Linked DNA regions of Bombyx mori. The protein of the gene in region 1 binds, or shares a complex with, the protein of each later gene. Links are inferred from orthologs where the notes say so. Each region holds a gene or a part of one and is shown in the gene's direction. Other genes may lie near its edges.

Evidence for each region.
Region 2: exosome complex component RRP45 (region 1) and exosome complex component RRP46 share a complex: the UniProt entries of both Homo sapiens proteins name them as parts of the RNA exosome core complex. The link is inferred for Bombyx mori from reciprocal best matches to the Homo sapiens genes EXOSC9 and EXOSC5.

Annotation. Positions count from the first base shown.
Region 1 is NC_085119.1:13,155,622-13,159,878, reverse strand, and holds the start of exosome complex component RRP45, read left to right. Parts: upstream 1-1,440; 5' UTR 1,441-1,477; intron 1,478-1,556; 5' UTR 1,557-1,591; intron 1,592-2,683; exon of another isoform or gene 2,684-2,752; 5' UTR 2,753-3,147; intron 3,148-3,324; exon of another isoform or gene 3,325-3,376; intron 3,377-3,473; exon of another isoform or gene 3,474-3,564; intron 3,565-3,687; exon of another isoform or gene 3,688-3,918; intron 3,919-4,030; 5' UTR 4,031-4,081; coding exon 4,082-4,147; intron 4,148-4,218; coding exon 4,219-4,257. UniProt on the Homo sapiens protein: Non-catalytic component of the RNA exosome complex which has 3'->5' exoribonuclease activity and participates in a multitude of cellular RNA processing and degradation events.
Region 2 is NC_085131.1:1,264,053-1,268,172, forward strand, and holds the start of exosome complex component RRP46, read left to right. Parts: upstream 1-1,311; 5' UTR 1,312-1,349; intron 1,350-1,355; exon of another isoform or gene 1,356-1,429; 5' UTR 1,430-1,506; coding exon 1,507-1,609; intron 1,610-1,832; coding exon 1,833-1,959; intron 1,960-2,578; coding exon 2,579-2,687; intron 2,688-4,120. UniProt on the Homo sapiens protein: Non-catalytic component of the RNA exosome complex which has 3'->5' exoribonuclease activity and participates in a multitude of cellular RNA processing and degradation events.

The DNA of each region.
Region 1 (4,257 bases):
TTCCGAGTAATACTGTTGCAGCGGTACTGCAGTAATTGATCTCATAGATAAATAAAACTCGATCGTTTTTTTATCGAGCCAATTTGGTGCAAATACTATGGTTTGTGAAGTTTCCAGTACATCATTTTTGTAAGTCGTTAACAAAGTAGTAAATAAGGTTGCCTTCTTTTGTAACGCCGTAGCAAAGCATATACATATAGGTACTAGGACCTCTTGTGAGTCCGCACGGGTAGGTGCCACTGCCCTGCCTATTTCTGCCGTGAAGCAGTAATGCGTTTCGGTTTCAAGGGTGGAGTAGACATTGTAACTATACTGAGACCTTAGAACTTACATCTCAAGGTGGGTGGCGCATTTACTTTGTAGATGTCTATGGGCTCCAGTAACCACTTAACATCAGGTGGGCTGTGAGCTCGTCCACCCACCTAAGCGATTAAAAAAATTAAAAAAGCTTTTACTTTAACAATTTAACAATTTTTAGTGCTACAAGATTATATAAAATACAGAAATTCAACAATATTAAAAATATAAACGTTTTTGTTTGAAAAAACAATAATGGAATATTGTCCATGCAGATTCGATTTTAATTCAAAGAGGCCACCTGCTTAAAGCCGCAACTAGAAAATTTCAATACTAAAATCATCCTATAAAGGTTCTTCAATCAAAATACAAAATAATATAGTTTTTTTATAAGGTATCATCCACATAAAGCTTTCATGTTTTCGTTCTTACAAAATGATCAATAGTACATTAATGGCATGTCGGCATAACTGATTACTAGGGTGATAGTCATATGTGATCACATTTGTGGTAGGTACCTACATATAAAACTAGGTTGTTAGTTTATGTAATATATAAGATTTTTTTTTGTTTTTTTTTTTTTTTGTTATGTCAAATTATAGCACGATTGTACAAGGAGCACCTCGCAAAAAGGGCTACTGTAGCTTATGGACATAACAATTCTATATGCTAACGGAGAATATTGTGGAGAAGAGTTTTTTACCCTTGAGTTGGATTGTCCGCGGCACGGAATAGATAAATAAGGTTATTTATATATTTATATACAACCTTATTTATATATAAATAAGGTTATATATAACCTTATTTATAACCTTATTTATATATATATATATTTATATATATTTATATATATAAATATTATATATATATAAATATAAATATATAATATTTATATATATAAATATTATATATTTATATATATATAAATATATAATATTTATATATATATATAAATATATATATAAATATAATATTTTTATATATAACCTTATATATAAATATTATATATTTATATATAAGGTTATATATAAATATATAATAATAAATAAGGTTATTTATATATTTATATATAACCTTATTTATCTATTCCGTGGTCCGCGGAGTAAGTGATTCTATAAAAGGCACTCACTGTACGAGTTGTACGTGTTTTCATTTTTTTATTTCTCTTGGGTGTAGTGAGGTGTGTTTTCCAAAGCTGGTCGCGTGGTAAAAAATACATAACCAAAGCCTCTCCGTAAACTTAGGTCTACATTCTAAAGGATCCGTATACCACGCGAGCAGAAACCTGTGATTTGTATGTATAGTCATCCAGGACATAGGATATTTTGCATATATAGATATATTTCGTGACGAGGTAATAACTCAATAAAAAGCTACATAGGGCAACGAAGAGCGGATAGTACAAGATCATGCCGAAGATCTCCCATGCAGTGGATCAACTAAATCAATTTCTCCGAATTTTACATTACTCCTAACAGAATGTGCCGAAAATAGTGACCAGTATAAACTCAGAAATTAGCTATAGATAGATTGCGATAGGTAGCATCTTCCTTATGTTTGCTAGACTGAATATTTCTACTCGAAATCAATAGCTGTGTGATTTTAATAGTCGACTAGCGACCTGCCCTCGCTTCGCTTCGGATACTACAATTTATTTATTATTGATTTTATTGAATTTTCATTTATACAAATCTGAACCTGAGAAAACGACGTAATATATTGTATTGGGTAATCCATAATGCTCTACCACGTGGCTCTCAAACTACTTTGTGAGCACTGCCATTACCATATCAACTTTTTTAAATACACTCACTTCTGGCTGCCTCTGGCAATTCATAGAGCTTCAAACTTACTTTACGCTCTTTCAATTGATACGCCGCTTCAATCGGAACTTGCAAACGTATTTTGCATCAGACACGTGCTGATAAAAGTCCATTGTTTATCAATATTACTTTACCTTGAAAGTTGGCATAAAATTTTCCTGAATAACTTTTGTTGCTCCAAAGAACGTCATTTGAAAGCAGTTATTGTTTTGCTGGATATGAGTCAAAAATCTGGCCCATTTCCGGAAACCAACGAATGTATTTTTTTCCTATCTATGTGATAGCTTTAGAGGCTATTTCAGCTTCACTCTAACGTGTAGGGTGTAGGTGGGCTCACGGTGCTCAAGCCGGGAGTGTTGCCAACACTGGCCCTAGCAAGAGCTGTGCTTCGCAGAATCTAGGTAGCACCGGTTGTAAAACGCGACCCGCTGAGAAGATCCGGCGAGAAACTCAGTGGGCAACTAAATGTAGTGGCGTTCATTGGTCCGCAAAACAACGATTTTCTGTAAACTGTCAAATTCATTCTTTACATGCTCTTAAGTATCTATGTTATCAATATACCTAATTCCGACCGAAGCATTTGTTTTAAACGATATTCAGTTTTTTTACATCCTCTTTTACCATATTTGCAGCACGCGTTCTGTCAATGCTATGTCAAATGCCTTATGATTTACATTAGAAAACCATTAGAAAATTTAATACGGTGGTTATTTACCTTTACATTACGCAGTTCATTTTAACATAAATAAGATTACAATTCAAAAATCGGTGTATGTGCGGTGTCATAGAATAGCAGCACCGCCCCATCTCATCCCATGGGTGTTGTAAAGGTTGTCTAAGGATGGTTCAACGGAGAATGGTTAAGTGTTTTTTAGTAGGTATCATACCAAACTGACCTATGATCGTTAACTGGCGTTCCCTGGGTTGGTTGTGGGGCCGTGAGCTCGTTCACCTATCTACGCAAAAAAATGTAGTTTGCGTATTAATTGGGACATTAAGCTCACATCGAATATGTAAGAGAGCACTGGTAAGTAAAATAATTATATTATTTATTTTAGCAGTAAAACATTAATGGGGTTTGGTGGTTTGAAAGATGTTTATAGAATACAATTTGAATTTCGAGCTCTGCCCATATCCCAGGTGTTGTTATTCATATCTTAGCTTGTGCCTATATAGTTTGTGTTTGTGTCAGCCGCTTACGTACCTGCCTATCTGTTCACCTGTGCCCCAGATATTACTTGAGCTCCTGTGCTACTCTAGAGTTCGAACAAAATGTAATTTTTATCAATCATAGAATTAAAATTTTTAATATATACATTTTAAGTATTATTATATAATATTTATAATATTTACATTTGTCCGAGCCGTAGCACAGTACGGATCTCTCCGGAACGTTGTTACGCTCCTCGTGAAATATACGCAGTTCTCGTGAAGTTTTAAGTATTAATTAAGATCTGAGGTCGAGACTTATCTAGGTTGGATTAACCAGGAGCCGAAGAGCGCATGATCAGAATTGTATCATTTTCACAGTTCGATGTCGCTTCAAATTTAGTATCTGTTAACGTACCTATATAAAAAGTGAAACAAAATCTGTGGACGTGACTTTTCGAGGTCTTCCAAAAAGGTTTTGGAAGTACCTAGTACATTTCTATATGTAGCAAACGCCACCAGTTGCTGTAGAGTAATTCCATAATCCACAATAATTCCTTTGAAGTTTCAATAAATTTTCACAATATGACAGGTCATTTTAATTTAATCACAGCTAATTTAAATTAAACAGTTAAAGGTGTGACTTTCATTTGGTTTAGTTCTTTAGGCTATATTCCCTTTGCCTGTTTAATTGAACAAGTGGAATTAAAAAAAAAGTTTAACAGATAACCTAAGAAAAATAATCACACATTTATTGCTAGGTATGCCTCTTTAAACAGAATATTCACAAAAAAATATGAACCAATAACAAAATGCGTGATACTTGTTTATCGAATTGTGAAAAGAATTTCATACAAAAGATCGTATCTCAAGGACATGTAAGTTGAAACTAATAGAATATAACCTAAGACTCTTCTACAAAAGTAATTTGGAAATAAATTGATTACAGCGCTTGGACGGTCGAAATTTTAATGAAACCCGAAAACTA
Region 2 (4,120 bases), on another chromosome or scaffold:
TATTGTGCACAAATTTTAGAATATATTATGAAGCCTATTAAATAAACGTAACTTTTTTGGTGGTAATTTACAAGTATGTTTAACGGTTTCTTCTTTGTACTTTAGATCTGTACTACTGCTAAGTCCTTGTTGTAAGAAAAAAATGAAAATACCCTTCTCGGGAAGAAATATCGGGCGAGTTTGAATAGCTAATACAAGATTTTCGTAATGACTGTTCCAGTAAACACATAACATAGCTCCCTTCAATAAAATCAGGCTTCCTGGTGGAAGTTAATAACTCGTAGAGTGCTAGTAAAGCTTTTCTGCAGAACGCTACTTCTCCTGTGTTTGTTCTTGTTAAGTTGAGTCATTTATTTAAACTAGTACACTATTATGATTGTATTTTATACTTCTTTACAAATTTCGCCAAGACTACACTTTAAAAAATATTAACAAAGACAAACAATATTTAATCTATTCTCAATTTGACAACAAAAAGAACAAAAGTTTAACAATAAATAATATGCATGCGTGTGTGCGTCAAATACATGGTATGTAGTGTGTGTAATGTTTTCTTTATTGATTTAATGTATCTTTTATGCATTATTTTAAAAAAGATTAGCATTGTGCACTTCTTCTCTATATTCTCTATAAGTGTGGAAAACTTCATACTCCTCCTTCCGCGCAATTTTCGTAAAAAGGGATACACAGTTTTTGCTTCACGTATTAATATATAGATCTCGAAGATAGAGATTTTTTTTCAAAAAACTTAAAATATTGAGCACACTGAAAAAAGTACTAAATTGGGATAATGATTCAGTTTTTAAAGATGAAAGATTATGATGAGTTGGAACCTACTCTTGCCGATAAGGGCGTTGTGTCAACTCAACTTTAAAAAACTCAGACTAAGGACAATGTACCTAAATAGATAATTATGTACTCCTATTTTGGACTTTTTGGCGGGAACGCGAGTAGCAAAGTTGTGAGAATAGTTTTATTTTGTTAATTTAATGTTTCTTCATGTTTAAACATGTACTAATGGATGTTTATGAACTGTTTAGTATCTGGGAAAGTGCATAAATTTAGGTAAATAAAACAAAGTCACCGGACGTTGATCCTCGGGATCTTCCAAACAGTCCACTGAAATAGTCTTAATAAGTCTTAGTTTTAATTTAATTCCAATTAATTAATGTTTGAAATTAATCAACCTAATTTCATTTCATTTTCATATCGTCTTCATAAAATAGAATTTACAAAAGATTAGGCTGTATGTTTCAATAGCTTTGCCCTTCTGGTTGTAAAAAACAAACGAATACTACTGTCAATGTCATTCTCACATGTTTTCTCAATGAAGTAGGAAACCTATATAGGTATATATACTATATAGGTCTATGTGTTTTCTATATTTTTCTTGTTATTAAAATAAATAAAGATCATCTTTGAATTTTAGAAAATCAGAAACCCAATTAGCAATCAAGTTTCATTGTACTACTTCAAGATATATTTAAACATTTGAACGAATTAAATATGGTGACTGATATGAAGGATGTACAGGATTTTAAATTAAAACCTATGAAATGTGAATTCAACTTCCTGAGCAAATCTGATGGATCAGCTATTTTATCACAAGGTAAAAACAGTTTTATGCCCTATAATCTAGCTGTGGTCATTTTACCGAAACTCTTAATTTAGGTACAACATGTTAAATAATAATTTAGTATTTTTACAAAAAATAAGTAGAACAGTAAGATTTTACGAACATTCAAAGTTCATCGTCTTAAAAAGTACAACAATGTTAATTAAAACTTCTTGGACAGAAAATCGTTCATCAAAGCTTGTAAATATTTTTACAGGGGATACTGTATCATTGGTGAGCGTAAATGGACCTTTAGATATAAAGATGACCAGTCAACGAATAGATAAGTCAACTCTTGAGGTTTTGTTCAGTAATAAGAATGGGAAACCGAGCGTGGAAAACAGGTAATGTATTAGAGCTATATGGCTATTGGAAATTAATTTAATAACAATATTTGCTTGTCAGTGGTCATTTGTATAATAATAGATGAAATCCACCGTTCGGTTTTGGAATGAACTACCCTCTGTGGTGTTTCCCAAGCGTTATGACATGTCCTTCTTCAAACGAGGCTTCTTTGAGAGTACATAATGGCATGTAGCTGCTTGGCTTTGCCCCTAACATTGACGTTGGCGTGAGCGAATGTAACCACTTACCATTAGGAGGGTCATATGTCTACAAAAAACATAAATTTGGTTGTCATTAATGAATGTATTGTTTAAACATTACTAGATACAACAGAGTTCAATATGGCAGATACACAACTTATTGATATTCTTGCTTGATCTTCTAAGTGAGTCACTTTTCTGACATGGTAGATTCAGCAAAGCACTGCGACTCTGTTAGGGTAGACATTAACAAAGTGATTGAGGTTGATCCCCATAAGTCTTCCACCAGTCTCTGTTGATGCTTCATGAAAGGTTTCTCAAAGAAACATCTGTAAGTGATGTTAAATTGTGGAATATTTTCAAGAAATAGGTGTTACAGTCGATTGTTGAATTGTAATCATATTACATGTTATTACAGATACAAAGAGAATATAGTGAAACAGACATGTGAAGCAGCAATACTTGGTTCTCTGTATCCTAGAACTGGTATAAATGTTACTATACAGGAACTAGAAGATTATGGTGGTGTGAGTACTGATTTGTATTTAACGAGGGTGAATTGGAATTGTTCCTAAAAATGAAGATTGGTGGTATTGGAAGTACTGGTGATTAATGATCTATCTGCTTCTAGCATGGAGCAGTTATGATCTGCCTATTGCTTTTAAGTGGGGGTAGTTCTTCACTCTCAAGCTTTCTACACATGCTTCAGGCTTGTAAACAAAAATAATGAAAAAAAAAAACGAAAATTGTTTTAATTGATATAGATAATGTTTTCTGTTAATTTCACAGATCATTTGATGAGCTCAACCGATGTAAAGTGGTTACCAGATTTCAATATGCTACATATTTAATAGTGGCCAAATTATTTTTATTATTAAATGTCAATGTATTATTAAATTGTGAATTTATTATTAACTAGCTGACCCGGCAGACTTCGTAGTGCCTCAATCGATAAATAAAAGACCTAAACTTTTGTATAAAATAAACTTAAAACAAACAAAAGGAATCCGTCCGACGCGGGACACAACAAAGGAAAAACAAAATTGTTATTTTTATTTAGTTCCGAGCATTTTCATATTTATTTACCTTTCAAACCTTCTCTGGACTTCCACGAATCATTCAAGACCAAAATTAGCCAAATCGGTCCAGCCGTTATCGAGCTTTAGCGAGACTAACGAACAGCAATTCATTTATATATGTACTAGCTTTTGCCCGCGACTTCGTCCGCGTGGAATAGTTCACGAATAATACAGGGTGGCCCATAAGTCCTTTGATATGAAAAAAAAATTATTAAAATAAAACTAATTACATTATGAATTAAATTTTTATTTACATAAAAAGCTTAAAAAACGGGAATTATTTTTTGAAAATAACATCTCCTAAATGTAATCCGTTGCGAACACGGCACTCTTGCAAACGACGTCTAAAATTGTCGATGACTGCGCGGCACGTCACTGCTGAAATGCTTGTCATTTCTCTGCGGATGTTTTCTTTTAGGGCCTCAATCGACCGCGGGTTTGTGTCGTATACTTTAGCCTTAAGGTAGCCCCACAAAAAAAAATCCATCGGGGTCAGATCTCGACTACGTGGAGGCCAGGAAATGTCTCCTCTCTTAGAGATAACTTTGCCAGGAAAAAGTTGACGGATAACGGGCATAGCAGTGTTAGAGGTGTGAGAAGTGGCCCCATCCTGTTGAAACCACGTCCTGGCATGTAAATCTTTCTTCAAAATCCGTTGTAACGATGTCCTGGATACGTTTAATGCTCTGGCGCGCTTACGAGTTGACTGTGTCGGATTTTCGCGAATAGACTGTGTCACTGTGTCTATGTTTTGTTCCGTACGTGACGTCCTTGGGCGACCCAACCGCGGTTTATCTAACGTCGAACCGGTCTCCTCGAACTTAGCAACCCAGTTCTTAATCGTTTGAAGAGTTGGAGTGTCGTCAAAGTTGTGTAAACCT